Linked DNA regions of Anolis sagrei. The protein of the gene in region 3 purifies or fractionates together with the protein of the main gene of each other region. This does not show direct contact. Links are inferred from orthologs where the notes say so. Each region holds a gene or a part of one and is shown on either strand. Other genes may lie near its edges. The genes, in order: IRAK1, USP18, MAP3K7 and PELI3.

The links.
Region 1: the proteins of MAP3K7 (region 3) and IRAK1 purify together in Homo sapiens (affinity purification with western blotting; 5 studies listed by BioGRID). This does not show direct contact. The link is inferred for Anolis sagrei from reciprocal best matches to the Homo sapiens genes MAP3K7 and IRAK1.
Region 2: the proteins of MAP3K7 (region 3) and USP18 purify together in Homo sapiens (affinity purification with western blotting; 4 studies listed by BioGRID, with this or other methods). This does not show direct contact. The link is inferred for Anolis sagrei from reciprocal best matches to the Homo sapiens genes MAP3K7 and USP18.
Region 4: the proteins of MAP3K7 (region 3) and PELI3 purify together in Homo sapiens (affinity purification with western blotting; 3 studies listed by BioGRID and IntAct, with this or other methods). This does not show direct contact. The link is inferred for Anolis sagrei from reciprocal best matches to the Homo sapiens genes MAP3K7 and PELI3.

Annotation. Positions count from the first base shown.
Region 1 is NC_090022.1:175,996,727-176,004,649, forward strand, and holds the start of IRAK1 (interleukin-1 receptor-associated kinase 1), read left to right. Parts: upstream 1-4,647; 5' UTR 4,648-4,881; coding exon 4,882-4,990; intron 4,991-7,923.
Region 2 is NC_090025.1:180,572,405-180,580,302, forward strand, and holds the start of USP18 (ubl carboxyl-terminal hydrolase 18), read left to right. Parts: upstream 1-4,402; 5' UTR 4,403-4,571; intron 4,572-7,898. UniProt on the Homo sapiens protein: Interferon-induced ISG15-specific protease that plays a crucial role for maintaining a proper balance of ISG15-conjugated proteins in cells. Regulates protein ISGylation by efficiently cleaving ISG15 conjugates linked via isopeptide bonds.
Region 3 is NC_090021.1:104,198,323-104,206,108, forward strand, and holds the start of MAP3K7 (mitogen-activated protein kinase kinase kinase 7), read left to right. Parts: upstream 1-4,523; 5' UTR 4,524-4,753; coding exon 4,754-4,843; intron 4,844-7,786. UniProt on the Homo sapiens protein: Serine/threonine kinase which acts as an essential component of the MAP kinase signal transduction pathway. Plays an important role in the cascades of cellular responses evoked by changes in the environment.
Region 4 is NC_090032.1:9,729,853-9,738,024, forward strand, and holds the start of PELI3 (E3 ubiquitin-protein ligase pellino homolog 3), read right to left. Parts: upstream 3,604-8,172; 5' UTR 3,273-3,603; intron 1-3,272. Other genes in the region: actin-related protein 2-B-like, read left to right, coding at 7,116-7,163. UniProt on the Homo sapiens protein: E3 ubiquitin ligase catalyzing the covalent attachment of ubiquitin moieties onto substrate proteins. Involved in the TLR and IL-1 signaling pathways via interaction with the complex containing IRAK kinases and TRAF6.

The DNA.
Region 1 (7,923 bases), on a different chromosome or scaffold from region 3:
TTCCTCGATGTTATTTAACATCTACATGGAACCGCTGGAAGAGATCATCCAGAGTTTTGGAGTTTGGTGTCACCTGTACACAAATTATGCTCAACTCTATTATTCCTTTTCACTAGCTAATGGCAAGGAAGCCGTGCTGTGCCTGAACTAATGCCTGGAGCCAGTAATAGGCTGGATGAGGGTAAACAAATAAAAACTGAATCCAGATAAGACATAAGTACTACTGGTCTCACATAGTATGGATCAGGAACTGGATCCCAACTGGAGCTGGATGGGGTTACATTACCCCTGAAAGCTCAGGTTCGCAGTTTGAGGGTGGTTCTGGAGTCTAAACCTGGAAACCCAGGTGGCGGAGGTTACCAGGATTGACTTTGCACAACTTAAACTGGTGCGCCAACTGCTGCCGTTCCTGAAAAAAATTGACCTGTCAACTGTAGTACATGCCTTGGTTACATCCTGCCTGGACTACTGTAATGCACTCTATGTGGGGCTGCCTTTGAAAACGGTTTGGAAACTTCAATTTGTTCAAAGATCGACAGGTAGGTTGTTAGCGTGAGTGGATATAAGAGAACCAAGTATCCCACTCCTGAAACAGCTGCATTGGCTCCCATTTAGTTTCCGGGTCTGATTTAAAGTACTAATTTTGACCTTTAAAGCCTTTCACAGCATCAGTCCAGATTACCTGAGACAACGGGTTCCTTTGTAAACACTGAGGAGATTGTTAAGATCAAGTGGGGAAATTCTGGTGTCCTCAAGCATCCGTGACAGTCTCCATTTGACGATCGCTAAAGAGGGGTCCTTCTTGGGAGTGGCTCCCTCTCTTTGGAATGCCCTCCCAGGGGAGATTAGATCTGCACTCTCTTTTTTGGCATTCAGGATGAGCCAAAAAACCTCCTTTTCAAAGGAAGTCTTTGGAGGAAACTAAGTTAGGAAGGCTCTTCGACTTTGTTACGTATTATCAGTGTGGTATTCAATGTATTTTATTGGGGTTTAATTAGTGTTTCACAGCATTCACTCATATTTATGGTTTTGTTTAAACAATTATATTGTATGTTTATACTGAGTGTAAGCTGCCTTGAGGCAGGAAAGATGGGGCATATATTTCATAAATAAATAACTAAATAAGTTGATTGCCAGGTACTTCCGTGATTCTTTAAAAGGGCCCAGCTTTGTAGAGTACAACTGTGTACATACATACAAACCGTTTACAGAACACCAGCCCACCACATGCATGCACACTAATTCACAGAATTGCAAAAATGAGTGTCATAATAACTATTTTTTAAAAATGTTTGCAGGTTCTATAAGAATTTGGCATTCGAAATCCAAACAAAAAGACCTCAGATTTGCTATATTACAGTTGTTTTCACAACTTGCTTTCAGGACTCTTAGGTTATACTATGTGACTGATGAAATAAGTGTTGGAATTTAGGAATTAAATTGGTGAAATAACTGTGTTTTATGACATTTTTTGTTTGTTTTTCAAATTCAACACCCCAAAATGCGTTAAAATCAACTACAATATTGAAATATTGCAGGCTTGTGATGGCACTGGCAACAGTGTTGTGACTTTGCCTTTTATCTTGGTCAACAGCACAAAAATCTGTCATACAGACTATCCTGGATTTCTCCTATTATTTGAGTTGCTTACAGGATATGTCCTAATCAGGCTCCAAGAGGACTGCCATCACAGAAGAATGCCATGTAGAAAGGGCTTACATTCTTCAGAGAGAATAGCAAGTCAGGCATGAGTGTATCCGCTTCCAAACAAGGAAAGACCTGTCCTTCTGATGGCAATACCTCATAATGGGATAAAAAGGTAAGCTCCATGGACATATATATGTTCTTCAGTGTTATTTCAACCAACCAGTGTCCCCATTTCAGTCTCTGATAGCTATCATTCACACTCTTCCCCCACTGCAGGCCCATAGCCAGAATTTTGATTCGGGGGGGGGGGGGGGCTTAAGTCAGGGGTCCTCAAACTAAGGCCCGAGGGCCAGATACAGCCCTCCAAGGTCATTTACCCGGCCCTCGCTCAGGGTCAACCTATGTCTGAAACGACTTGAAAGCACACAACAGCAATGTAATCAAATATGGTTTACCTATCTCTTCAGACAAAAAGCAGGCACACACTTCCCATTAAAATACTATTAAGTTTATACTGGTGGGGTTGGGGGGGGGGGGTTGTGTCATTTAGGAGTTGTAGTTGCTGGGATTTATAGTTCACCTACAATCAAAAAGCATTCTGAACTTCACCAATGATGAAATTGAACCTAACTTGGCACACAGAACTCCCATGACCAACAGAAAATACTGGAAGGGTGTGGTGGGCATTGACCTTGAGTTTGGGAGAGCACTGTGGACTCAAACAATGATGGATCTGGACCAAACTTGGCAGGAGTACTCCATATGCCCAAGTAGGAACACAGATGAAGTTTGGGGAAAATAGACTACATTTGGGAGTTGTAGTTACTGGGATTTATAGTTCACCTACAATCAAAGATCATTCTGAACCCCACGAACGAGAGAATTGGGGCAGACTTCCCACACATAACCCCTATGGCCAAAAGAAAATACTTAAGGCCATCCAGTCCGACTCCCTTCCATCAGTATTTGAAAATGTAATCAAATACAGTTTATCCACAAGCATAAAGAAATTACATATATTAGAAACCAACACTCATTACTTTATTTTCCAGATCACCAGACTGGGCCACAGCAATGCAGCAAGGGACGGCTAATATAAAATATACAAACATTGAAACAGAATTCAATATAAACAGTATTAAAAATTCAGTTTAAAAACAATTCAACATAATCAATGCATATTAAAATTAAAGCCACAGCATCTCCTGACTTGATCTTAAACGTACGTATAAGATATGTATGCAGTAAACAACGGCGCTCCATGCGGTCATGCTGGCCACAAGACCTTGGAGGTGTCTACGGACAACACCGGCTCTTCGGCTTAGAAATTGAGATGAGCACCACACCCCAGAGACAGACATGACTGGACTTAATGTCAGGGGACAACCTTTACCTTTAAACATTAATGTGGTGCTTAGACTTGGGTCCCATGGCCAAGCTACCTCATTACAAACTTCATCACACTACAGCAGCTATCCCTTTAAATCAGTGTTTCTCAACCTGGGGGTCGGGACCCCTGAGGGAGTCATGAAGGGGTGTCAGAGGGGTCGCCAAAGACCATCAGAAAACACAGTATTTTTTGATGGTCATGGGGATTCCATGTGAGAAGTTTGAGCCAATTCTATTGTTGGTGGAGTTCAGAATGTTCTTTGATTATAATGAACTATAAATCCCAGCAACTACAATTCCCAAAAGTCAAGGTCTATTTTCCCCAGGCTCCACCAGTGTTCACATTTGCGCATACTGAGTATTTATGCCAAGTTTGGTCCAGATCCACCATTGCATGAGTCCACAGTGCTCTCTGGATATAGGTGAACTACAACTCCCAAACTCAAGGTCAATACCCACCAAACCCTTCCAGGGTTTTCCGTTGGTCATGGGAGTTCTGTGTGCCAAGTTAGGTTCAAATCCATCACTGGTGGAGTTCAGAATGCTCTTTGATTATAAGGTAGGTAAAGGTAAAGGTAGTCCCCTGACATTAAGTCCAGTCATGTCTGACTCTGGGGTGTGGTGCTCATCTCTAAGCCGAAGAGCCAGCGTTGTCCATAGACACCTCCAAGGTCATGTGGCCGGCATGACTGCATGGAGCGCTGTTACCTTCCCGCCGGAGCGGTACCTATTGCTCTACTCACATTTGCATGTTTTCAAACTGCTAGGTTGGCAGAAGCTAGGGCTGATAGCGGAAGCACACACCGCTCCCCGGAATCGAACCTGCGACCTTTCGATCAACAAGCTCAGCAGCTCAGTGCTTTAACCCACTGCGCCACCGGGGGCTCCTCTTTGATTATAAGTGAACTATAAATCCCAGCAACTACAACTCCCAAGTTACAAAATCAATCCTCCCCCAACCCCACTAGCATTTACATGTGGGTGCATTGGGTATTTGTGCCCAATTTGGTCCAGTGAATGAAAATACATCTTGCATATCTAATATTTACATTATGATCGATAACAGTAGTAAAATGACTGTTATGAAGTAGCAACAAAAACAATGTTATGGTTGGGGGTCATCATTACACGAGGGACTGTATTAAGGCGTCATGGGATTAGGAAGGTGGAGAACCACTCCTTTAAATCCTGTGGCTGCCTCCCGATGAACTCTGGGGCTTGTAGTTTAGTGAGGCTCAGGACCTCTCTTAAAGTCTTCTCCCTAAACTACAAGCCCCAGAATCCTTCAGGAAGGAGGCAGCCACAGGCTTTAAAGTAGATACAAGCTCTCAACGTTCAAACACTCTTGGTCCCAAGCATTTGGAACACTCAAAATGTCCATAGAAGCAGCAGTCAGCGAAACTGAAGGCGGGTGAGGCAAAGCAATAGGCCAATAGAGGCTTTGCCGCATTCAAGATGGCTGCCTCACGTAGGATTAAGGAAGTTTCCCGTCATGCTGTGCCGCACTCAAGATGGCGGCCTGACTGACCTCCCAACGCTGCTCCGTCAACCAGGCCGAAGAAGCGAGGAGACGTCGGCGCAGGCGCAGAGCTGCCAAGGGGGCGCGGCTCGTGCTTTAAAGAGGAAGTGGCCCTTTTTCGGGGCGGCCTCCTCCTCCTCCTCCCTCAGTCTCTGTTTCTCTCTCTCTCTTTCTTTTCCTCGTTTTCTTCTCCTTTTCCCGCCCCCTCGTCCGGCCTCTCCTATGGCCTGGCCTGGGCGGAGGACGAGGAGAAGGAGAAGGAGGAGGGTGGCCGCCTCAGCAGCAGCAGCAGCAGCCTTATCCGCCAGGGGAAGGGCCCGCGGGGGATGGCCGGTTCCCACTCGCCCAGGTTCCTGTACGAGTTGCCGGCCACTGTCATGTGCCAGTTCTACGAGATTATGGACGCCCTCGGCCGGGCGGAGTGGCAGCGCTTCGGTGAGTGGCTCTCCTGGCTTCCCCTCAGGGAGTGTGGCCGCCCCTCCTCTCAGGCAGGATCTGATCCCGGATTATCTGGCAGTGGAGACTCATATAATCCAGTTTAAATAGAGTAAATCTGGGATCAGAACCTGGGATAGAGGGCAGGGCAGTATTATGAATCCAGGACCGGATTATCTGCTTTGAATCTGAATCACCTGCCTTGAACTAGTTTATATGGCATTGTAGATTTAGGACCCTTCCTGACAGCCATATAATTTAGAATATCAAGGCAGATAACCCACCATATCTGCTTTGAACTGTGTTATCTGAGTCCACACTGCCATATAATCCGGTTCAATGTGGATTTTATGCAGTTGTGTGGAAGGAGCCTTAGATAATCCAGTTCAAAGCGGATAATGTGGATAATCTGCATTGATAATCTGGATTATATGGCAGTGTAGAGGGGGCCTGAGTTTACATGGGCATATAATCGAGTTCAAAGCAGATAATCTGGATTTTGTATGACAGTGTAAAAAGGGACTGAGTCTACACTCCCATATAATCAAGTACAAAGCAGATAATCTGAATTTCTTATGGCAGTGTAAAAAAGGGCTGAGTCTACACTGTTATATAATCCAGATAATCTGGATTTTATATGGCAGTGTAGAAGGTCTGAGTCTACACTCCCATATAATCAAGTTCAAAGCATATAATATGGATTGTATAGCAGTGTAGAAGGGGCCTGAGTACACCCTGCCATATAATCCAGTTCAAAGCAGATAATCTGGATTTTGTATGACAATGTAGAAAGGGGCTGGGTCTACACTGTCATATAATCCAAATAATCTGGATTTTATATGGCAGTGTAGAAGGGGTCTGAGTCTACACTCCCATATAATCAAGTTCAAAGCAGATAATCTGGATTATATGGCAGTGTAGAGGGGGCCTGAGTTTACATGGGCATATAATTGAGTTCAAAGCAGATAATCTGGATTTCTTATGGTAGTGTAGAAAGGGACTGAGTCTACACTGCCATATAATCCAGATAATCTGGATTTTATATGGCAGTGTAGAAGGGGTCTGAGTCTACACTCTCATATAATCAAGTTCAAAGCAGATAATCTAGATTATATAGCAGTGTAGAAGGGCCTGAGTACACACTGCCATGTAATCCAGTTCCAAGTAGATAATCTGGATTTTGTATGATAGTGTAGAAAGGGGCTGAGTCTACACTCCCATATAATCGAGTTCAAAGCAGATAATCTGGATTATATAGCAGTGTAGAAGGGCCTGAGTACACACTGCCATGTAATCCAGTTCCAAGTAGATAATCTGGATTTTGTATGATAGTGTAGAAAGGGGCTGAGTCTACACTCCCATATGATCAAGTTCAAAGCAGATAATCTGGATTATATAGCAGTGTAGAAGGGGCCTGAATCTACACGCCCATATAATCCAGTTCAAAGCAGATAATCTGGATTTTGTATGACAGTGTAGAAAGGGGCTGAGTCTACACTGTCATATAATCCAAATAAACTGGATTTTATATGGTAGTGTAGAAGGTCTGAGTCTACATTCCCATATGATCAAGTTCAAAGCAGATAATCTGGATTATATAGCAGTGTAGAAGGGGCCTTAGTACACACCACCATATAATCCAGTTCAAAGCAGGTAATCTGGATTATATAGCAGTGTAGAAGGGCCTGAGTACACACTGCCATATAATCCAGTTCAAAGCAGATAATCTGGATTTTATATGGCAGTATAGAAGGGACGAGAAGCTCCTTCCACACAGCTGAATGAAATCCCACTCTTTCTGCTTTGAAGTGGAATATATGGCAGTGTGGACTCAGATATTCCACTTCAATTAGATATTGTGATATTTTCTGACTTGATATTCTGGGTTATAGGACTGTGTGGAAGGGCCCTGAGTCTACTCTACCATATAATCCAGTTCAAATCGGATAATCTGGATCATTTGGCAGTAAGGAAGGGTCCCAAGTCTATACTGCCATATAATCCATTTCAAAACAGATAATCTGAATTTTATATGGCAGCATAGAAGGAATTGTAGTCTTTTCACAAGAACAGACAGTGGAGTTTAGTAGCCTAATTTTGTATATATGTGTATACACACACACACACACACACATATATATATACCAAAGAAGGCTGCTAAAACACACAGTCAGTTCTTGTGAAAAGCCTAGGGCCCCTTCTACACTGCCATATAAAATCCAGATTATCTGCTTTGAACTGGAATATATGGCAGTGTAGACTCATATAATTCAGTTCAAAGCAGATAATGTGGATTATCTGCTTTGATAAACAAAATTATATGACAGTGTATAAGTGACCTAAGATTCATAACACACATTTTGGTACCCAAATGTTAGCCCTGTTTCTGGGTATATTTGTCCTGCCGATTCCTTATCTGCTCTCCTTTAGAAAACCATATCTTTGTGCTGGTCAGTGACCGTAATAAAGTTTTGTATTATAGTGTATTGATAGCCGTATCAAAGAAACAACAGCTGATGTGGTCTGTCCAATGCAGTTTTCTGAACCAGGGCCCCAAATAACCAAAGGAACAGGTCTAAAAATCAAGATACTAGGACATTTTTGGTTGTGGTGTTATTATCATGATATGTATTTATTTATTATATCTCGCATTTTCTCCCTCAAAGGAGACTCAAAGTGGCTAAGATTCATACAAAGTGAATATTAAAACCAAACGCGTTTAAAAGTAGAATTAAATGTAGGAGTATTAATCCATTAAAAACATATTAGGTTAATACATTTAATAAAGGGGAAATTCGTTTTTGCAGCTTCTTCCTCTGTGTGTCTACATATTTCCATATGTTTTTCTAGGCTAAGTATTTATTCCTTTTGAATTTTGCTGTAATCCTTTCTTGAAACACTTGGTATAGCTCTAAACACTCAGATATGAATTC
Region 2 (7,898 bases), on a different chromosome or scaffold from region 3:
GTCTGAAAGTCCAATGGAGTCTCTAAGTGTACAGTTCCTACTGAAGTCTCTAAGCATACCTGTTCCTACTGTCTCCTTAAACGCCTACTTTTCTACTGAAGTCTAAACCGAACTGTGCTAAAATGGAGTCTGAGTCCTGAACAAGCCCAGATCTGATCACATGGTCTGCAGCCCCTCCCACAACAAAAGAATTACGGAAAACTGCAAACCAACACACACACACACAATACAGTAAGCAATTATTTACATAACAAATAACTAGTGGAGGCTTGAGAAGGTTGCTATTTCCAATACAGGATCTATGGATATGGAGGGCCTACTGCACTTTTCTTTTGCACCAGGTACCATTCGATAGAACAGGCACGGGCAAACTTGGGCCCTCCAGGTGTTTTGGACTTCAGCTCCCATCATTCCTAACAGCCTATCGGCTGCTAGGAATTGTGGGAATTGAAGTCCAAAACACCTGGAGGGCCCAAGTTTGCCCGTGCCTGTAATAGACGCTTCTAGGAGAAACATTTGAACCAGAAGGCTCCGTTTTAGTGGATTTTGAGGGCACAGTAAGCTTGGTTCATAGTCAGAAATGGCAAGCTAACAGGACTGATTGCTGAAAATAAACAGAAGGAGCCTTAATGTGCCTTAAAACTATTTTGACGGTTTTATATCAAGGAGAAGAGATGCCTACTGTAGTGGCAACCACATATTAGTGGTTGGTGTCAATAAGGCACTGAATCTGCATTGGCCTTCACGTCCAAACTTTAAAGGAGATACTCAGGGTGCTGAATACTATCCTTAAATAACACTATGTAACAAAAAATGAAAACAAACGTTTCCTGGTTTGAAACGGTTATTCCCATTTAATTGTGCAGTAGTTACTTTGAAAGTAGTTATACTCCCTATATGCTATCTTAAACCAATTTAGCATATAGCATATAGGTGGTATATAACACCACATAAGATAGGGAAATTCAAAAAAAATACGAATACAAAATGCTGGAAATGCAGAAAACATGAAGGGACATATTACCACCTATGGTGGACATGCCCAAAAGCAATAACATATTGGAAAAGTATACAAAAATCATTACAAAAAAATTTAAAGATAAATATACCCCTAAAACCAGAAACATTCCTACTAGGGATCCATGATATAAAAATGGAGAAGAATAAGGACAAAATTCTATTTCTCTTAACAACTGCGGCCAGAATAATATATGCAAAGCATTGGAAGGAAAAAGAACCCCCGGGAGAAGAAGAATGGCTAACAAAGATCCTGGATATAAGAAATATGGACAAATTAACTTACATACTTTCAAAAAAAGGGGGCACTCCATCAGTAGAAACTGACTGGAAACAAGTAACAACATACTTGATAGAAGAAAAAAAATATGAAAATAATCATATGAAAAAGTGGCAAGCAAAACAAAAGGGGGAGAGCAGAAGAGAGAAGAGAGAGGAGTAGTTTGGAAGAAAGAAGGAGCGAAGGAAGAGGAAGAACCTCCAGAAGATACCGGGAAGTCAATGTCAGATATACACCTATCACACACCCTCTTTTCCCTCACAGTGACCTCCTTAATTTCTTTTTCTACACCTGGCACACCCTTTATTCTGAACAACTACCAAAAGCATCTCCCCCACTCTACCCCCCTCTATACTATCATTCCCCCTCTATCCCCATCTTTTGTCCCCACCTTCTTATACTTACCCGATTAGATACCGTATACTTTTTTTTTAACTAAAACTAATAAAGATTATTTTAAACTTCAAAAAAAAAAAAAGAAAGTAGTTATACTCCAGAAACTTCATTTTTGTGGCTGCCAAACTATGTTGCATTGCTTGAGACACAGATATTAATTGAAAAACGATAGCAAAATGTGCTGCAGGATAAGTTTTGTAAACTTTTTCCATGCTTTCAGGATACAAACAATTAGGAAATTACATTTATAACCTAGGAGCAAAAAAAGTGTTATGTAGTGTAATTTAAATGTCTTAGGTTGCATCTATACTGTAGAATTAATGCAGTTTGATTCTACTTGAACTGCCATGCCTGTATGGAATGCTATGAAATCATGGAAGTTGTAGTTTTGCAAGATCCGGTGCTTCACCAAAACACAAATCCCAGGATTCCAGAGCTTTTAGCTTGGCAGTTAAAGTGATGCTAAACTGCATTAATTCTACAGCACGGATGCATCCCAGTTCACAGTAAACGTGTTTACCTTATCCAACTGTCATCTGGCCCTGACACACATGAAGGATGACCTTCTTCTGGTTTTCCATGGTGAGAGCCTTCAGCAATCTAGGGTTGGGGCATGAGAAAAGCACACATTTCCTTCTCTTAAGTTTCATTTCTTGGCTGTGACACATCAGGAAAGAAGGGGAGACGTAAACCTAAGCCAAAAGGATGTACGTGGGGAGGGACATGAAATCTAATGCACATAGCGAAGGGAATTTCATATGTGAGGCTCCACAGATGATGTGGCAAAATTGCAGGAAGAGGGTTTTGGAGAAACAAAAAAATGCAGCAGGGAGAACTATATGCTGCCTTTATAAACCTTAGTGAGGCATTTGATACTGTAAATAGAGAGACGTTATGGAGGAAATTAACTGATATCAATATGGAGCCCAGACTGCTGGCACTGATCAAAGCACTTTACATAAATACTTGAAAGTGTGACTTGGGATGCAAGGAGCCATGACAAATAGTGTAGAACAGGGTTTCTCAACTGGGGGTTTGTGAGGAAGTGTCAGGGGTCATCAAAGACCATCAGAAAACACTGGATGTTCTGTTCATCATGGGGGTTCTGTGTGGAAAGTTTGGCCCAACTCTATCATTTGTGGGGTTCAGAATGCTCTTTGATTGTAGGTGAACTATACATCCCAGAAACTACAACTCCCAAATGTCAAGCCCTATTTTCCCTAAACTCCACCAGTGTTCACATTTGGGCATATTGAGTATTTGTGCCAAGTTTGGTCCAAATCCATCATTGTTTGAATCCACAGTGCTCTCTGGATGTAGGTGAACTACAACTCCCAAACTCAAGCTCAATGCCCACCAAACTATTCCAGTATTCTCTCTTGTTCATGGGAGTTCTGTGTGCCAAGTTTGGTTCAATTCCATCGTTGGTGGGGTTCAGAATGTGCTTTGATTGAAGGTGAACTATAAATCCTAGCAACTATAACTCTCAAATGACAAAATCAATCCCACCAGTATTCAAATATGGCCGTATTGGGTATTTGTGCCAAATTTGGTCCAGTGAATGAAAATACATCCTGCATGCCAGGTATTTACATGACAATTCATAACAATAGCAATATTACAGTTCTGAAGTAACAAAAAAAATAATGTTATGGTTGGGGGTCAACACAACACGAGGAACTATATTAAGGGGTCATGACATTAGGGAGGTTGAGAACCACTGTCCTAGAGGAAATGAAGTCTGAACTCTCCTTAGAAGTCCAGATGGCTAAAGTGAAACTGTTGTGCTTGGCCATATACTAGGAAAGTAATAGTCACTAGAAAAGAAAGTAATGCTTGGAAAGGTAGAGGGCAGTAGGAAAATAGTGCTCTTTGATTGTAGGTGAACTATAAATTCCAGAAACTACAACTCCCAAATGTCAAAGTCTATTTTCGCCAAACTCTATAAGTGTTCACATTTGGGCATATTGAGTATTTGTGCCAAATTTGGTCCAGATCCATTGTTGTTTGAGTCCACAATGCTCTTTGGATGTAGGTGAACTATAATTCCAAAACTCAAGCTCAATGCCTACCAAACCCTTCTAGTATTTTCTGTTGGTCACAGGAGTTCAGTGTGCCAAGTTTGGTTCAATTCCATCGTTGGTGGAGTTCAGAATGCTCTTTGATTGTAGGTGAACTATAAATCCCAGCAACTACAACTCCCAAATGTCAAAGTCTATTTTCCCCAAACTCCATCAGTGTTCACATTTGGGCATATTGAGTATTCATGCCATGGAAGTTCTGTGTGCCAAGTTTGGTCCAATTCCGTCATTGATGGAGTTCAGAATGCTCTTTGATTGTAGGTGAACTATAAATCCCAGCAACTACAACTCCCAAATGTCAAAGTCTATTTTCTCCAAACTCCATCAGTGTTCACATTTGGGCATATTGAGTATTCATAACAATAGTAACATTACAGTTCTGAAGTAGCAACAAAAATAATGTTATGGTTGGGGGTTACCACAACATGAGGAACTGTATTAAGGGGTCGCAGCATTAGGAAGACTGAGAAACACTGGTGTAGAGGCACCTAAGAGAGCAGAGTCCTTGGGCTGCATAGGTAGGAAAGGAAGGTGGAGGAGAACGAGGAGGCGGAGGCGCTTTGGAAACGAAGCTGGTTAAGTTTCACTTTCTAAAGCGAGCCGCCCTTCAGCGGGAAATCAAAACTCATGGCCGTCTGCTCGGTGCTGCCCTCTAGAAGTGACGCACAGCTGTCAAAAAGGGAGCCGACCGCGCCAGGATCGGAAGTTTCCCTGTCGCTAGTGTGGACGCACAGTCGAGCGGAGTGGAGACCAAGCAGCCGGGAAAGGTTGAGCCCTCCTCCTCCTCCTCCATCACCGTAAGTTACCTTCCAAGCCATCCTTCTCCAACCTGGCCTTTTGGGGTTGATCTACAGTACTGTAGAGTTATTGCACTCAGGCAAGACTTAGTTCCATGCTCTGGGATCCTCGGAATTGAAGTTTGGTGGGGCACCAGGACTCTTTAATTGTAGGTGAACTATAAATCCCAGCAAGTATGTCAAAGTCTATTTTCTCCAAACTCCATCAGCAGGGAAGGCTAAAGACCAGGTAAGACTACAACTCCCAGGATTCCATAACATTGAGCCATGGACCTCACAATGCCTGCCATAGATGCGGACGAAACATCAGGAGAGAATGCTTCTGGAACATGGCCATACAGCCCAAACTTATTTACACACTTATTTACTTATTTAGGTGAGTCCTCATAGTCAAAGGATGATGGTCCTCCAAGTCGGTGGCTGTGGAGCCTTATTCTTGACCCACATTAGGTGATCCCTCATAGCCCAAGGATGATGGTCCTCCAAGTCGGTGGGTCTGTAGGTGGCTGTGGAGCCCTATTCTTGACCCACATGTTCTCCCGCAGTGAGAACATCGGTTTCCAGGTTGAAAGTGGTCCCGGTTAAGGTTGGCTTGACGCACCTTCCTCTTGGCACGTTTCTCCCTTTTGCCCTCCATTTGTGCCTCTTTGAATTCTGCAGCACTGCTGGTCACAGCTGACCTCCAGTTAGAGTACTCAAGGGCCAGGGCTTCCCAGTTCTCAGTGTCTATGCCAGAGTTGATTAGGGTTGGCTTGACACGCCTTCCTCTTGGCACGTTTCTCCCTTTTGCCCTCCATTTGTGCCTCTTTGAATTCTGCAGCACTGCTGGTCACAGCTGACCTCCAGTTAGAGTACTCAAGGGCCAGGGCTTCCCAGTTCTCAGTGTCTATGCCAGAGTTGATTAGGGTTGGCTTGACACGCCTTCCTCTTGGCACGTTTCTCCCTTTTGCCCTCCATTCGTGCCTCTTCGAATTCTGCAGCACTGCTGGTCACAGCTGACCTCCAGTTAGAGCACTCAAGGGCCAGGACTTCCCAGTTCTTGCTGTCTGTGCCACAGTTTTTAAGGCTGGCTTTCAGCCCATCTTTAAATCTCTTTTCCTGTCCACCAACATTACATTTTCCGTTCTTGAGTTGGGAATATAGTAACTGCTTTGAGAGATGGTGATTGGGCATTTGGACAACATGGCCACTCCAGCAGAGTTGATGGTGTAGGAGCATCGCTTCAATGCTGGTGGTCTTTGCTTCTTCCAGCACACTGATACTTGTCCTCCTGTCTTTCCAAGAGTTTTGCAGGATTTTCCGGAGGCAGTGTTGATAGAATCGTTCTAGGAGTTGAGTGTGACATCTGTAGACAGTTCACGTCTCACAGGCGTATAGCAGGGTTGGGAGGACAATAGCTTTGTAAACCAGCAGCTTAGTCTCCCTACGGATGTCCCAGTTCTCAAACACTCTGCTTCATTCGGAAAAATGCTGCACTCGCAGAGCTCTGGCGGTGTTTTATTTCAGTGTCAATGTTGGCTTTTGTGGAGAGGTGGCTGCCAAGGACCTCACAACCTCTAAGGATGCCTGCCATAGATGCAGGCGAAATGTCAGGAGAGAATGTTTCTGGAACATGGCCATACAGACCAGAAAACTCACAACAACTCAGTGATTCCAGCTATGAAAGCCTTCGAAAATACATTGAGCCATGGATAGTTGAAGTGCTCTCAAACTGCATTCATCCTGCAGTGTAGATGTACCCTTTGAATCCCTTTTTTTCTGGGTTGGGCATCATTGGATCCACATTGTGTTTATATTTTTTGCAACATTGGTCCTTCAAATGCATCCTCACTTCTAAATGCATTGCCTTTAAATTCCCGGAGAGATGATGCAACTGACTCCCATGTTATATATGTGGATATGGGTGTATCTGCAGTTTGACATCAGTTTAACTGCCATGCCACAGAATCCTGGGAGTTGTTGTTTTTCAAGGTTTTTAGTCTTCTCTGCCAAAGAAGTTAGATGCCTCACCAAAGTACAATTCCCAGGATTTGATAGCATTGAGGCATGGCAGTCAAAGTGGCATCAAACTGTGTTAATTCTACAGTGTAGATCAGGCATGGGCAAACTTGAGCCCTCTAGGTGTTTGGGACTCCAAATCCCACCATTCCTAACAGCCTCAGGCCCCTTCCTTTCCCCCCTCAGCTGCTTAAGCTGCCATGTTCCAGCAGCATTCTCTCCTGACGTTTTGCCTACATCTATGGCAGGCATCCTCAGAGGTTGTGAGGTCTGTTGGAAACTAGGAAAATGGGGTTTATATATCTGTGGATATAGTTTCCTACTTTCCAACATACCTCACAACCTTTGAGGATGCCTGCCAAAGATGCAGGCATAATGTCAGGAGAGAATGCTTCTGGAACATGGCCATACAGCTCAGAAAATTCACAACAACACAGTGATTCCGGCTATGAAAGCCTTTAACAACACTTAGTTTTAATCTTGGGAGCATGAGACCTTTGGTTTAATGGCTTTCTTTCCATTGCTTCAAATGTAATTTATCCAAGCATTTTATGTACAGTTTAAATGTCTATTTTCCAGGTAACTATATATGTTATATTTTGGCAAAATGTCAGATGCTTTCCTGGTACTTTGCAATTACTAAATGAATCCATAAAGTAATAGCCCAAACAAGCAAGTCAGCTGATTCCCTTATCAAAATGGTAACAAATGTAAACAAGGAAGAATAAAGGGAAACAATATAATAACAAACATTGCAATAAAATATTGCGATGTTGAAATCTGCTTGGAATATTGACCAGGAAATCCTCTTTGTATCTATGCCAATTGGTCTATAATATAATCAGTTATATAGTCTAGGAGAGGTGTGGGCAAACTTTCTAACTTGGGGGCCACATGGTAGGCTGCGGTGGGGTGGGCAGGCTATGAGGGAGGGGGTTCTCCCCAAGCCCCCTCCCTGCCCTTTCCTCTCCTTCCTCTTCTCTTTTGGAAGCAGAAAGTGAAGGAAAGACAGGAAACATTTGGATCCCAAAAGGGTTGGCCTTGGTCAGGATGAGATGGTGGATGAGAGAGACAAAGTGTATCCATTAGAGACTCTATATTGCCTACTCCTGCTATAGAATCCTAAAATCCTAGAATTGGAAGAGACCTCCAAGGGCCATCCAGTCTAACCTTCTGCCAAGCACTCCCAGTACACAGCCTCTGTGGAAAAACCTCCAGAGAAGGAGACTCCACCACACTCCGAGGCAGTCTATGCCACTCCCCAGGAAGGTCATCCTAATTTTTTCAGTCGAAACCATTGCTCCTTTGTGCCCTGGTCTCTAGAGCAGC
Region 3 (7,786 bases):
AGATGCGTGTAGGGTGGCCTTTTGCAGCTGACAGATGGTAATTTTGTCAGTGCCAATTGTGTTTAAGTGCAGGCCAAGGTCTTTAGGCACTGCATCCAGTGAGCCCATCACCACTGGGACCACATTGACTGGTTTGTGCCAGAGTCTTTGCAGTTCAGTATTTAAATGCTCATATCATGTCAGCTTTTCCAGTTGTTTCTCTGTCACCTGGGATTGCAACATTGGCGATCCATACTTGGTTTTTTAACATGATCGTGAGGTCAGGAGTATTGTGCTCCAAAACTCTGGCAGTCTGAATTCGGAAGTCCCAGAGTAGTTTGACATGTTCATTTTCTGTAACCTTTTCAGGCTTGTGATCCCACCAGTCCTTTTTCAAAGGGAGATGGTATTTGTGGCACAAGTTCCAATGAATAATCTGAGCAACGATGTTATGCCTCTGCTTGTAGTCTGTCTGTGTGATCTTCTTGCAGGAGCTTATTATTATTATTATTATTATTATTATTATTCATTTGTTAAATGTCTCTCCTCACAGCTTGAGGCCAGATACAACATGGTTAAAACACACTGATAAAATATATTAAAATTAAATTAGATTATTCTTTCCATCATTTTCCTATCTATGATTCTATGATATCAAAAATGGTAAAAGGCTTGTATCCAGCATTTTGGTCATGGAAACAGGACAAAGAACTAAAACTATTCTTTCTACAAGCTTGCTCCCCAGGCAAGTGCTGAACCCGGGGGGGGGGGGGATCTTTCTTTTTTTAATAATCTTTATTGGGGGAGTTGTGTGTGTGTGGTGGGGGGGTCTTGGGTGCATCTATACCCTGGAATTAGAATCACAGAATAATAGAGTTGGAAGAGACTGCATGGGCCATGCAGGAAAAGCACAATCAAAGCACTGCTGGCAGATGGCCATCCAGCCTCAGTTTAAAAGCCTCCAAGGAAGGAACTTCCACTACACTCGGATGCAGACAATTCCACTGCTGAACAGCTCTTACAGTCAGGAAATTCTTCCTAACATTCAGGTGGAATCCCCTTTCCTGTCATTTGAATCAATTGCCTCAAGTCCTAATCTAAAGGGCAGAAGAAAACAAGCCTGATCCCTCTTCCTTCTGACACCCTTTCACATGTTTATACATGGCTATCATGTCTCCTCTCAGCCTTCTCTTCTGCAGGTTAAACATGCCCAGCTCTTTCAGACGCTACTCATAGGGCATGGTCTCCAGACCTTTGATCATTTTAGTCACCCTCCTCTGGACACTGTCCAATTTGTCAATATTTTTGAACTCTGGTGCCCTTTTATCATGCTCTTTATCACATATGTCCACTGCTCGTTAGAGAGCAGTTTTATACCACTTTTAACCGCTATGGCTTGATTCTATGGAATCCTGGGATCTATAGTTGGGTGAGGCAGCAGCACTCTTGAGCAGAGAAAGCTGAAGACCTGGTAAAACTAAAACTCTTATGATTGCATAAGACTTGGGTCCCTTCCACACAACCCTCTATCCCAGAATATCAAGGCAGAAAATCTCACATTATCTGAGTGTGGACTCAGATAATCTAGTTCAAAGCAAACATTGTGGGATTTTCTGCCTTGATATTCTGGGATAGAGAGCAGTGTGGGATAGAGGGCAGTGTTTGTTTTAAGTACTTTTTTGTTATTATATGTTTATATTGATGTTTTACTTATTGTTTTGATTTGGTTTGCCTATCTGTTTGATGTGTTGTCAAAGGCTTTCATGGTCAGAATCACTGGGTTGCTGTGAGTTTTCCGGGATGTATAGCCATATTCCAGAATGCTTCTGGTCCAGGAGCATGGCCATGCAGCCCAGAAAACTCATAGCAACCCTCTGTCAGTTGGTTTTTGTATGGCATTGAATGTTTGCCACTTTTTGTTTGGGAAATGCCCTGAGTCCTCCTGGGGAGATAGGGCGGGTTATAAAGAAAGGTGATGATGATGATTAGTATTATTATTATTATTATTATTATTATTATTATTATTATTTGAAACACAACAAGATGCGTCCACAGCAAACAAGATCACTCTGGCTGTTATATTGGATGACACGTTGGACACTTCCCACTGTGTGATGCATCAGCGAATAATGCATGCAGATCCCAGTAGGATGGACCTTTGCAGCTGGCAGATGGTAATATTGTCAGCGCTGATTGTGTTTAAGTGCAGGCCAAGGTCTTTAGGCACTGCATCCAGTGTGCCAATCACCACTGGGATCACCTTTACTGGTTTGTGCCAGTCTCTGCAGTTCGATCTTTAAATCCTCATATTGTGTCAGCTTTTCCAGTTGTTTCTCTTCAATCCTTCTGTTGCCTGGTATTGGAATATCAACTATCCATACTCTGTTTTTTAACACGACTGTGAGGTCAATATTATTATTATTATTATTATTAAAGAGAAAACCTGGGATCAGATCCTGGGATATAGGGCCTGGAAGGACCCCTAGTTTAAAGCAGGTATTGTGGGTTATTCTGCCTTGATATTCTGGGTTATATGGCTATCTGGAAGGGCTCTAACCCATGTTATCAATTCAAACTGCATTAGTTGTACAGGATTTACCCCTCTGGCACCGTTGGCTTCCATTCAGTGCTAGCGGAGAGTAATAACAATATAATAATAAAACTTTATTTGTATTCTGCCCTCTCTCCCCGAGGGGACTCAGGGTGGATTCCAACAAAAAAAAATGGCAAATATGTAATGCTAAAACACATTCTTAAAGAGAATACAAAAACAAACTATTCAAATACCAAAAGTAAACAAAAGCTACGACAAAATTGAACAAAAATTAAATGTTAACATAACCCACCAGTTACATCTTGTATAAAAATGTGCATAAATTATATAAACACACATAATGATTATTGAAACAGTTATTAAAATATTTAACGATGAGGACAGTAGCACTCCCTCGGCGCATCTACACAGTGGGGAATTGATACTTTGACAACACTTTTAACTGCCAGGGCTTTTCTGTTGGTCATGAGGGTTCTGTGTGGGAAGTTTGGCCCAATTCTCTCGGTGGGGTTCAGAATGCTCTCCGATTGCAGTTGTTGTTTCTTGTTCAATCGTTTCCAAATCTTCGTGACCTCATGGACCAGCCCACACCAGAGCTCCCTGTTGGCCGTCACCACCCCCAGCTCCTTCAGAGTCAAGCCAGTCACTTCAAGGATGCCATCCATCCATCTTGCCCTTGGTCAGCCCCTCTTCCTTTTTCCTTCCATTTTCCCCAGCATCATTGTCTTCTCTAAGCCAGGAGTCCTCAAACTAAGGCCCAGGGGCCAGATACAGCCCCCGAAGGTCATTTACGCGGCCCTCACTCAGGGTCAACCTAAGTCTGAAATGACTTAAAAGCACACAACAACAACAACAACAACAACAACCTTATTTCATCAGCCAAAAGCAGGCCCACACCTCCCATTGAAATACTAATAAGTTTATATTTGTTTAAATTGTTATTCGTTTTAATTATTGTATTGTTTTAAAGGGTTTTTGCACTACAAATAAGATATGTGCAGTGTGCATAGGAATTAATTCATATTCAAATTTTTATCAAATTATAATCCGGCCCTCCAACAGTTTGAGGGACTATGACCTGGCTCTCTGTTTAAAAAGTTTGAGGACCCCAGCTCTAAGCTTTCCTGTCTTCTCATGATGTGGCCAAAGTACTTCATCTTTGCTTCTACTATCCTTCCCTCCAATGAGCAGTCGGGCTTTATTTCCTGAAGTATGGACTGGTTTGACCTTCTCGCGGTCCAAGGCACTCTCAGAACTTTCCTCCAGCATCACAGTTCAAAAGCATCTATCTTCCTTCGCTCAGCCTTCCCTATGCTCCAGCTCTCACATCCGTAGGTTACTACAGGGAATACCATTGCTTTAACTATGCGGAACTTCGTTGCCAGTGTGATGTCTCTACTCTTCACTATTTTATCGAGATTGGTCATTGCTCTCCTCCCACGAAGTGTCTCCTGATTTCCTGGCCACAGTCTGCATCTGCAGTAATCTTTGCACCTAGAAATACAAAGCCTGTCACGGCCTCCACATTTTCTCCCTCTATTTCCCAGTTATCAATCATTCTTGTTGCCATAGTCTTGGTTTTTTTGATGTTTAACTGCAACCCAGCTTTTGCACTTTCTTCCTTCACCTTGGTTAGAAGGCTCCTCAGCTCCTCCTCGCTTTCAGCCATCAAAGTGGTATCATCTGCATATCTAAGGTTGTTAAGGTTTCTTCCAGCAATTTTCACCCCAGCCTTGCATTTATCTCTGATTATAGGTGAACTATAAATCCCAGCAACCAAAACTCCCGAATGCCAAGGTCTATTGCTATGGGATCCTGGGGGCTGTAGTCCTATAGGGCCCCCCGTTTCCCTTGCCGAAGAGTGCTGCTGCCTCCCCAGACGAGAGCTCCCACCCGGGATCCCACCGCCTTGAGGCCTAGCAGCGGGGTGGTGCCCGGCTGAGCCTCCCTCCTTCGTGGGAGGGCGGGGGGAGGGGGCGGGGCGGCTCCGGGAAGCGGGCGGGCAGGAGGAAGAGGAGGGCCGCTGGCTTCCTTGCCTCCTCCGCCGCCAGCCATGGCTCCGCCTGGGCCTCGCAGGCAGTAGCGGGAAGAGGCCGGGGAGCAGGGCACAGGCCCGGCGGAGGAGCGGCCCTCGCCCTCCCCGCTTCACGCCGAGCCCGCGGGGCCATGGGCCTCCGGTGAAGCCGGCCCGGCGGAGGAGCCTCTTCGGCGGGCGGAGGGATGTCTTCGGCCGGCCCCGCGGACATGATTGACACCCAGCCCGTGCTCAACTTCGAGGAGATCGACTACAAAGCCATCGAGGTGGAAGAGGTGAGGTCCTGGGCCGCGCCGGGCGTTGGGGCGCCCAGCCTTGGGGGACTTCAACTCCCAGGAGCCCCGGCCAGCCAGGACAGCACTGGGGCATTCTGGGAGACGAAGTCCAAAACACTCGAGGGACTCAAGCCTAAGGCCCCACCGGCACTGCATTGTATGGCCTTCGCTCAGGCACGGGCAAACTTCGGCCCTCCAGGTGGTCCGGACTTCAGCTCCCAGCAGCCCCAAACATCCAGGACAGCACTGAGGGATTCTGGGAGATGAAGTCCCAAACCCCCAAGGTTGGTGACCACTGGTGTTCGCCAGAGGTGAGGACTAGGCCCCTTCCACACAACTGAAGAAAATCCCACATTATCTGCTTTGGTTATAAGACAGTCTGGACTCAGGGCCCTTCCAGACAGCTATATAACCCAGAATATCAAGGCAGGAAATCCCACAATATCTGCTTTGAACTGGGTTATCTTGAGTCCACACTGCCATATATTCCAGTTCAAAGCAGATATTGTGGGATTTCCTGCCTTGATATTTTGGGGGCCCTACCACACAGCCCTATATCCCAGAATATCAAGGCAGAAAATCCCACAGTATTTCCTTTGAACTGGGTTATCTGAGTCCACACTCAGATAATGTGGGATTTCCTGCCTTGATATTCTGGGATATAGGCCTGTGTGGAAGGGCTCTCGGATAACTCGAGTCAAAGCAGATGTTGTGGGATTTTCTGCAATTATATTGTGAAGCCCCTTCCTCACAGCTACATAAAATCCCACATCTGCTTTAAACTGGGATATATTAACAGTGTGGACTCAGATAACCCAGTTCACATATTGTGAGATTTTCTGCCTTGAGATTCTGGTCCCCTTCTGCAATAGCTAAATAAAATCCCACATTATCTGCTTTGAACTGAAATATAAAACAATGTGGACTCCAGGCCTTCCACACAGCCCTCTATCCCAGAATATCATGGCAGAAAATCCCACAATATCTGCTTTGAGCTGGGTTGTGTGAGTCCACACTGCCATACATACCAGTTGAAAGCAGATATTGTGGGATTTTCTGCCTTAATATTCTGGGTTATATGGCTTTGTGGAAGGGCCCATAGACATTGCCACCGTTCATATTGATTTCAAAGGATGTATATACTACACCACGGAACAAATGCAGCTTCCCATCACTTTAACTACCTTGACTCAAATAAGTAAATAAGCAAAACTTTATTTCTCTCCCACCCCATCTCCCCATGGGGACTCTGGTTTCCATCAAAAGTGGTAAACATTCAGTGTCATAATAAAAACAGAAAAACAACAAATCAGTCGACACAATAAATAAAACAACATCAATATAAACTAATAATAACTAAACAATAAGACGACTGCAATAAATTAACAGCACATTCAACAATCATACAAATCACAAGTGAAACAATAATAGCAAATTAAAAACAGTATCAATAAAAACATGATTAAAAGCCATGGCAATATTAAATTCTTATTTCATAAGGCCAGATTTTTGACCATTCACATCTCCATGAGCCTGGGTTATGGGTTTTTTAAGGTTTTTATTTGCTTCCTAAAGGAGGACAGCAATTGGGCCATTCTGATCTCCTTTGGGAGAGAGTACTAAAGGCTATTTTATTTAGTACTGGGAGTTGTGGTTTGGTGAGGAGCCATCACTCTTTGGCAGAGAAGGCCTAGTAAAACCAAATCTCCCATCATTCCAGAGCACTGAGTCATGACAGCTAAAGTGATGTCAAACTGCATTTCCTCTACTTTATTTAGATGCTCCCCAAAACTATTCCTTACGTCAGGCATAAGCAAACTTTGGCTCTCCAGATATTTTGGACTTCCAACTCCCATAATTCCTAACAGCTACTGGAGGGCCAGAGTTTACCCATGCCTGCTTTAAGTCCTTGCTTGGGACAAAATCCATGAAGAAATATGTAGAGGACTGCACTGCACATTGCTATCAGGACGCCAGTGTTATTCAGGAAATGGTCTTTTTCTCCTGCATCCCACCCCTAAGTACAACTTCTTGGTACTTCTCACTCCTTAGTGAAGATGAGAGGACCACTGGACATAAGAAATAAATAAATACATTAGAATTCAAATCACATCCCTACTCAAATATGGACAGATTTTTGAGAGAAACCAGGACTCAAAAGTTATTTAGAGTCAGATCTGGCAAACTCAGGCTCCCTCTACACTGCCATATAAAATCCAGATTACCTGCTTGGAACTGGATTATATGGCAGTGTAGACTCATATAATTCAGTTCAAAGCAGATAATCTGGATTATCTGCTTTGATGATCTGGATTATATGGCAGTGTAGAAGGTATGAAGTTTTTAGGGATATTATTGGGTCACTTCTTATCAGTTAGTGAGTAGAGAAACAAGAGGTAAAATATAACAAAACAATAAAACCAATACACTTTTTCAAGTGCCCGTCCAGAAACCTGGTCTTAATTTTAAATCTCAGGGTAACCTGTGGAGATTTGGCTCACATAAAGGACCTGAGTATTCCCTAAAGGTATGCATCAAACAAATAAAAGCCATGAAAGACTTCAACCACACTTTTTAAGAGACTGCTGTTTTTCTACAGCAGGTTTAGTTATTTTTCAAGCGATGTGTTCAAAGCAAACATGATGTAGTGTTTTGAATTTTGGATTATGACTTTGAAGGCCAGGGTCTGAAAATCCTCACTTGACCACTAAACCCACAAAATGACCTAGAGCACTATTTCAGCCTCAGACCAAGGCTGTGCCCTTCCACACAGCCCTATATCCCAGAATATCAAGGCAGGAAATCCTACAATATCTGCTTTGATCTGGGTTATCTGGGTGAACACTCAGATAATGTGGGATTTCCTGCCTTGATATTCTGGGATATAGGGCTGCGTGGAAGGGCCCCCAGTCAATGGCAGAAAAACAAATCTTGGCAAGGAAA
Region 4 (8,172 bases), on a different chromosome or scaffold from region 3:
GAGATTATAGATGGGGGGTCTGAATGGATAAAAATAACAATAACAATAACAACAACAACAATTCAATGATGATGATGATGATGATGATAATAAATGACACTGAAGGGTATCCCAATGTACATAAGGCATTGCTTGGGAGATTGTAGCTATGGGGATGGGATTTGTGGCATTGGATGGTACCCCAATATATATAAGGCATTGCTTGGGAGATTGTAAATATGGAGACGGAATCTGTTGCACTGGAGGGTACCCCAACATATTTGACACATTGCTTGGGAAATTATAGATGTGGGGTCTGAATGGATAATAATAATAATAACAATAATAACAACAATAATTCAATAATAATAATAATAATAATAATAATAATAACAATAGATGGCACTGGAGGGTACCCCAAAGTATATAAGGCATTGGTTGGGAGATTGTAAATATGGGGATTGAATTTATGGCACTGGAGGGTACCCCAATGTATATAAGGCATTGCTTGGGAGATTATAGATATGGGGGCGGAATCTGTGGCTCTGGAGGGTACCCCAACATATATGTGACATTGCTTGGGAGATTATTGATGTGGGGTCTGAATGGATATGATGATGATGATAATAAATGACACTGGAGGGTACCCCAACATATATGACACATTGCTTGGGAGATTATAGATGGGGAGTCTGAATGGATAATAATAATAATAATAATAATAATAATAATAATAATAATAATAATAGATGGCACTGGAGGGTACCCCGGTGTATATAAGGCATAGCTTGGGAGATTGTAGATATGGGGACGGAATCTGTGGCACTGGAGGGTACCCCAACATATATGACACATTGCTTGGGAGATTATAGGTGGGGGGCCTGAATGGATAATAAAATAACAACAACAACAAATCAATAATAATAATAATAATAATAATAATAATAATAATAATAATAGATGGCACTGGAGGGTACCCCAATGTATATAAGGCATTGCTTCAGAGATTGTAGCTATGGGGATGGAATTTCTGGCATTGGAAGGTACCCCAATGTATATAAGGCATTGCTTGGGAGATTGTAAATATGGAGATGGAATCTATGGCATTGGACAGTACCCCAGCATATATGAGAAACTGTATGGGAAGTTATAGGTGTGGGGATGGAACGGATGGCAGCAGAGGGTACCCCAATGTATATAACCCATTGCTTGGGAGATAGTAAATATGGAGATGGAATATATGGCACTGGAGGGCACCCCACACATATATGAGGAACTGTATTGGGAAGTTAGAGATGTGGGGGCTGAAGAGATGGCACTTTAAGGTACCCCAGTATCTATAAGACATTGCTATGGGGACAGAATCTATGGCATTGGAGGGTACCCCAATATATATGAGGAACTGTATGGGTAAGTTAGAGATGTGGGGACTGAACAGATGGCACTTTCAGGTACCCCAATGTCTATAAGACATTGCTATGGGGACGGAATCTATGGCATTGGAGGGTACCCCAACATATATGAGGAACTGTATGGGAAGTTATGGGTGTTGGGGTGGAACGGATGACACCTCAATGTAAATAAGGCATTTAAGATACCCCAATGTCTATAAGACATTGCTATGGGGACAGAATCTATGGCATTGGAGGGTACCCCAACATATATGAGGAACTGTATGGGAAGTTAGAGATGTGGGGACTGAACAGATGCACTTTAAGGTACCCCAATGTCTATAAGACATTGCTATGGGCACAGAATCTATGGCATTGGTGGGTACCCCAACATATATGAGGAACTGTATGGGAAGTTATAGATGTTGGGATGGAATGGATGACACCTCAATGTAAATAAGGCATTTAAGGTACCCCAATGTTTATAAGACATTGCTATGGGGATAGAATCTATGACATCGGAGGGTACCCCAACATATATGAGGAACCGTATGGGAAGTTAGAGATGTGGGGACCGAACAGATGGCACTTTAAGGTACCCCAATGTCTATAAGACATTGCTATGGCATTGATGGGTACCCCAACATATATGAGGAACTGTATGGGGAAGTTAGAGATGTGGGGACTAAACAGATGGCACTTTAAGGTACCCCAATGTCTATAAGACCTTGCTATGGGGACAGAATCTATGACATCGGAGGGTACCCCAACATATATGAGGAACTGTATGGGAAGTTATGGGTGTTGGGGTGGAACGGATGACACCTCAATGTAAATAAGGCATTTAAGGTACCCCAATATCTATAAGACATTGCTATGGGGACAGAATCTATGGCATTGGAGGGTACCCCAACATATATGAGGAACTGTATGGGAAGTTATGGGTGTTGGGGTGGAACGGATGACACCTCAATGTAAATAAGGCATTTAAGGTACCCCAATATCTATAAGACATTGCTATGGGGACAGAATCTATGGCATTGGAGGGTACCCCAACATATATGAGGAACTGTATGGGAAGTTATGGGTGTTGGGGTGGAACGGATGACACCTCAATGTAAATAAGGCATTTAAGGTACCCCAATATCTATAAGACATTGCTATGGGGACAGAATCTATGGCATTGGAGGGTACCCCAACATATATGAGGAACTGTATGGGGACGTTAGAGATGTGGGGACCGAACAGATGGCACTTTCAGGTACCCCAATGTCTATAAGACATTGCTATGGCATTGGTGGGTACCCCAACATATATGAGGAACCATATGGGAAGTTAGAGATGTGGGGACCGAACAGATGGCACTTTCAGGTACCCCAATGTCTATAAGACATTGCTATGGCATTGGTGGGTACCCCAACATATATGAGGAACTGTATGGGAAGTTGGGATGGAATGGATGACACCGCAATGTAAATAAGGCATTGCTTGGGACATTGTAGATATGGAGACGTATCAACGAGGCATAATTTGGGGAGATTATAGATGTGGGGACGGAGCGGATGGCGCCTTCCCCAGTGTGTTTGTAAATAAAGGGGTGCAGGAGAGTCATCCAAACCAAAGGAAGGACTAAGAGGGTGGCCTTTCTCTCCTGAAACCCAGCCAAAGTGTCTTTGGTGGATGAAGCCCCCTCCCCATTAAGCAGGTATAGGGCCCCACAAAGCATGGGGGGTGGGTAGACCCAAATGGGTCGAGGGTCCCGACAATGAGAGAGTAAATGCATGCATCAAGTCTGGGAGTGGAAGAGGAGGGCCGATGATGCCATAGACCCCCTCCCTTCCTCCCTGCCCGCCTCCCCCTCCCACCATACCCCTCCCACCTTGGGTCTGGGGTCCGGCTCACCCCTCTGTGCTGCTGGCCAAGCCTTGCTGCCTTTGCGGAGAGTCCCTTTGCTCAACAGCCGCTGCCTGCGCAGGATGGAGAGCCCTGCATTGCCGGAGGAAGGCGAAGGATGCTCAGAGGAGGAGGAGATGGAGGAGGCACAGATGCGGATGCTGCTGCTGCTGCTGCTCCAGAGTCTGCAACACACACACACACACACAAGCACACAACACAGGGAGGAAGGTGTGGGATCCTGCCCGGCCGCTCCTCCTCTTCCTCCTCCTTGCCTGGATGCTCCGAGCATCACTTTTCGGCCTTCTCCATAGGATGAAATCATAGGGTCCAAGGGCAGGAGGTGGGGGTGAAGTGCAACAGATCGAGAGTCGAGCCAAAACAATAATAATAAAGCAAGGGGTCCAAAGTCTTAAGTCTTAAGGAGGATAAATGGGTGGGTGGGTGGGTCAGCATCCCTTTGGCACAAAAAGCAGGGAGAAAAGTGGTACCCAACCGTCATGCTATTGAATGAATATTCAGCCTGTCATTGAACATCGAGAAAACCAAAGTGCTCTTCCAGCAGTCACCGGCCAATAATAGTAATAATAATAATAATAATAATAATAATAATAATAATGGGTTGTTGTAGGTTTTTTCGGGCTATATGGCCATGGTCTAGAGGCATTCTCTCCTGACGTTTCGCCTGCATCTATGGCAAGCATCCTCAGAGGTAGTGAGGTGCTTGCCATAGATGCAGGCGAAACGTCAGGAGAAATGCCTCTAGAACATGGCCCTATAGCCCGAAAAAACCCACAAGAACCTAGTGATTCCAGCCATGAAAGCCTTCAACAATACATAACAATAATGGGTTGTTGTAGGTATATGGCCATAGTCTAGAGGCATTTCCTCCTGACGTTTCGCCTGCATCTATGGCAAGCATCCTCAGAGGTAGTGAGGTCTGTTGGAAGTAGGAAAATGGGTTTATATATCTGTGGAATGACCAGGGTGGGACAAAAGACTCTTGTCTGCTGGAGCTAGGTGTGAATGTTTCAACTGACCACCTTGATTAGCATTTAATGGCTTGGGGGAAATCTTTTGTTGAGAGGTGATTTGATGTGCCTGATCCGCGCTACTGGTACGTCTCGACCTTACCGCAGCGTTTGACACCGTCGACTACGATCTAATGATTCACCGTCTTGCCATGTCCGGAGTTCGTGGTCAGGCCCTCAATTGGTTCAACTCATTTCTCCGGAACCGGAGTCAATGCGTGGAGTACATGGATCAAGTCTCCGATAGATCCCCCCTCCTATGTGGGGTCCCCCAAGGTGCAATTCTCTCCCCTCTTCTCTTCAACATCTGGGCACCACAATTCAAGAGAGATATTGACAAGCTGGAATGTGTCCAGAGGAAGGCGACTCAAATGATCAAGGGTCTGGAGAACAAGCCCTATGAGGAGCGGCTTAAGGAGCTGGGCATGTTTAGCCTGAGGAAGAGAAGGCTGAGAGGAGATATGATAGCCATGTATAAATATGTGAGAGGAAGCCACAGGGAGGAGGGAGCAAGCTTGTTTTCTGCTTCCTTGGAGACTTGGACGTGGAACAATGGCTTCAAACTACAAGAGAGGAGATTCCACCTGAACATGAGGAAGAACTTCCTGACTGTGAGAGCCGTTCAGCAGTGGAACTCTCTGCCCCGGAGTGTGGTGGAGGCTCCTTCTTTGGAAGCTTTTAAACAGAAGTTGGATGATGTATTGTTGAAGGCTTTCATGGCTGAAATCACTAGCTTCTTGTGGGTTTTTTCAGGCTATAGGGCCATGTTGTAGAGGCATTTCTCCTGACGTTTTGCCTGCATCTATGGCAAGCATCCTCAGAGGTAGTGAGGTTGGATGGCCATCTGTCAGGGGTGATTTGAATGCAATATTCCTGCTTCTTGGCAGAATGGGGTTGGACTGGATGGCCCATGAGGTCTCTTCCAACTCTTTGATTCTAATGATTCTACATCAAACAAAACATCAATAAACACAGCATTAACATAACAGTCAATAAAATGCAAATAATATAAATCACATAAACAAAAACAAGAATCAATAATGTCATATAAACAGTTTTAAAAATGGCAAGGGCCAAATGTAATAGATCAAAATTGAAAATATGCTGACGTGAACAAGGTAAAATATAAATGGGATAGCATTTTTCAAAGAGAAACGAGAGAGCGCATAATATGCATTATGAGGGCATATTGCTGAGAGTTCCCCTTATTCTGGGAAGGCACACTGGAACAACCATGTTTTCAGGCTCCTCCTAAAGACTGCCAACGTTGTGGCATGTCTAATGTCCCTGGGAAGTGAGTTCCAGAGTCGAGGGGCCACCACCGAGAAGGCCGTGTCCCTCGTCTTCACCAATCAGGTGGGAGAGTGAGCAGGGCCTCTCCAGATGATCGAAGAGATTGTGTGGGTTCGTACACAGAAATGCAGTCACACAACCCCTCTCCAATGCTAGAAATACAGCTTAATGGTGTAACACTAGAAAATGTGGACCATTTCCACTCCCTTGGCAGCCACCTCTCCACAAAAGTCAACATCGACACTGAAATTCAACACCGCCTGAGCTCTGTGAGTGCAGCTTTTTTTCCGAATGAAGCAGAGAGTGTTTGAGGACCGGGACATCCGTAGGGAGACCAAGGTGCTTGTTTATAAAGCCATTGTCCTCCCAACCCTGCTAAATGCCTGTGAAACGTGGACTGTCTACAGACGTCACATGCAACTCCTGGAATGATTCCATCAGTGTTACCACCGGAAAATCCTGCTAATCTCTTAGAAAGACAAGCGGATAAATGTCAGCATGCTGGAAGAAGCAAAGACCACCAGCCTTGAAGCGATGGTCCTCCGCCATCAACTCCACTGGACCAGCCACGTTGTCCGGATGCCCGACCACCGTCTCCCAAAGCAGTTGCTCTACTCCGAACTCAAGAACGGAAAACGGAATGTTGGAGGACAGGAAAAGAGATTGAAAGATGGGCTCAAAGCCAACCTTAAAAACTCTGGCATAGACACTGAGAATATATAGATTATTATTGTTCTATTATTATTACACTTTTATTATTTTAATATATATTATTTTAATATATAATTATTAATTATTACTATTATTTTAATAGGTAAAGGTAAAGGTAGTCCCCTGACCTTAAGTCCAGTCATGTCTGACTCTGGGGTGTGGTGCTCATCTCCATTTCTAAGCCAAAGAGCCAGCGTTGTCCGTAGACACCTCCAAGGTCATTATATAATTATTATTTCAAAGGAATGATAATAATTTATTATTATTTATATAGATTATTATTATTCTATTATTATTATTATATTACACTTATTATTGTGGATCTACTCTACACTGATCATCTAGTGCATTATTTGCCAGTGTGGATGCAGCATGAAATGGACCCAGCATGAAAGGATCAAGGCTTGGGATTTGTAGTTCTGTCACTTGGGGTTGCCCAAACTCAATAGTATGGCATGTTGGGATTTGTAGTTCCCAGAGAAAGAGAGGGAGGGAGAGCTCTTGGTGTGCAAACAAACTATAAATCCCACTTGGCTCAAGGCTGTGGGCTCCTGGGAGTTGTAGTCCTCGGAGGCCTTTGCCCAAAGAGCCAGTGCAGACCCTCCAGGGTGTTTCCCCCTTTGCCTGCTTTGAGTCAGGCCGAGGGAGGCGGGTCCCGGAGGAAGGGGAGGAGGAGGCGAAGGGCGTCAACTTGGCTCCGCCAGCCCAGGATGTTACATCACAGCCGGGCTTGGGGGCGCTGCCGGCTCGCTCTCCTTGGCCAAGTGCAGGCGGAGAGGAAGAGGCGGAGGAGGTGGAGGAGGAGGAGGAGGGAGCCATGGACAGCCAGGGGCGCCGCGTGGTGGTCTGCGACAACGGCACCGGGGTGAGGCCAGGACACCACTCCCGCTTAACCGGAAACTCTCAAGCAACCGGAATATATATATATATATATATATATATATATATATTCTTCTCTATCTCTCTTTCTTTCTTTCCCAATTTGTTTCACTTTATGATATCACCTCCTAAATGCCGGTTGCTTGAGAGTTTCCGGTTAACCGAAAACTCTCAAGCAACCGGACTAATATATATATATATATATATATATATTTCTTTCTTTCGTCCCAATTTGTTTCACTTTATGATATCACCTCCCAATGCTGGTTGCTTGAGAGTTTCCGGTTAACCGGAAACTCTCAAGCAACCGGACTATATATATATATATATATATATATTTCTTTCTTTCTTTCTTTCTTTCTTCCCAATTTGTTTCACTTTATAATATTAACTCCCAAGTGCCGGTTGCTTGAGAGTTTCCGGTTAACCGGAAACTCTCAAGCAACCGGCATTGGGAGATGATGTTATAAAGTAAAACGCACCTTGCAACGGTATCCCTCCCAGGATCCCACAGAACAAACGTCTGGAGGGGGAATGAGCAAGAATGGTAGTGCAATCCAAGGCAACTCTCAGTTAACCGGAAACTCTCAAGCAACCGGACATATATCTATCTCTCTCTCTCTTTCTCTCTCTCTTTCTTTCTTTCTTCCCAATTTGTTTCACTTTATAATATTAACTCCCAAATTGCCGGTTGCTTGAGAGTTTCCGGTTAACTGAGAGTTGCCTTGGATTGCAATACCATTCATGCTCATTCCCCCTCCAGACTTTTTTTTTCTGTGGGATCCCCCCGGGAGGGATATCTTGGCAAGGTGCGTCTGCACTGCAGAAGGTGACTCACTTCCATACCACTTTGCAGATTCTTTCCTGATTGTTTTGATTTTTGTAGTGGGTGGGCAATGGATGTAGAATTTGGAAGGGACCCCAAAGGCCATCCAGAACCACCCCCTTTCTGCAATTCTGGAGGACACCATCCAAGCCCATAATAATAATAATAA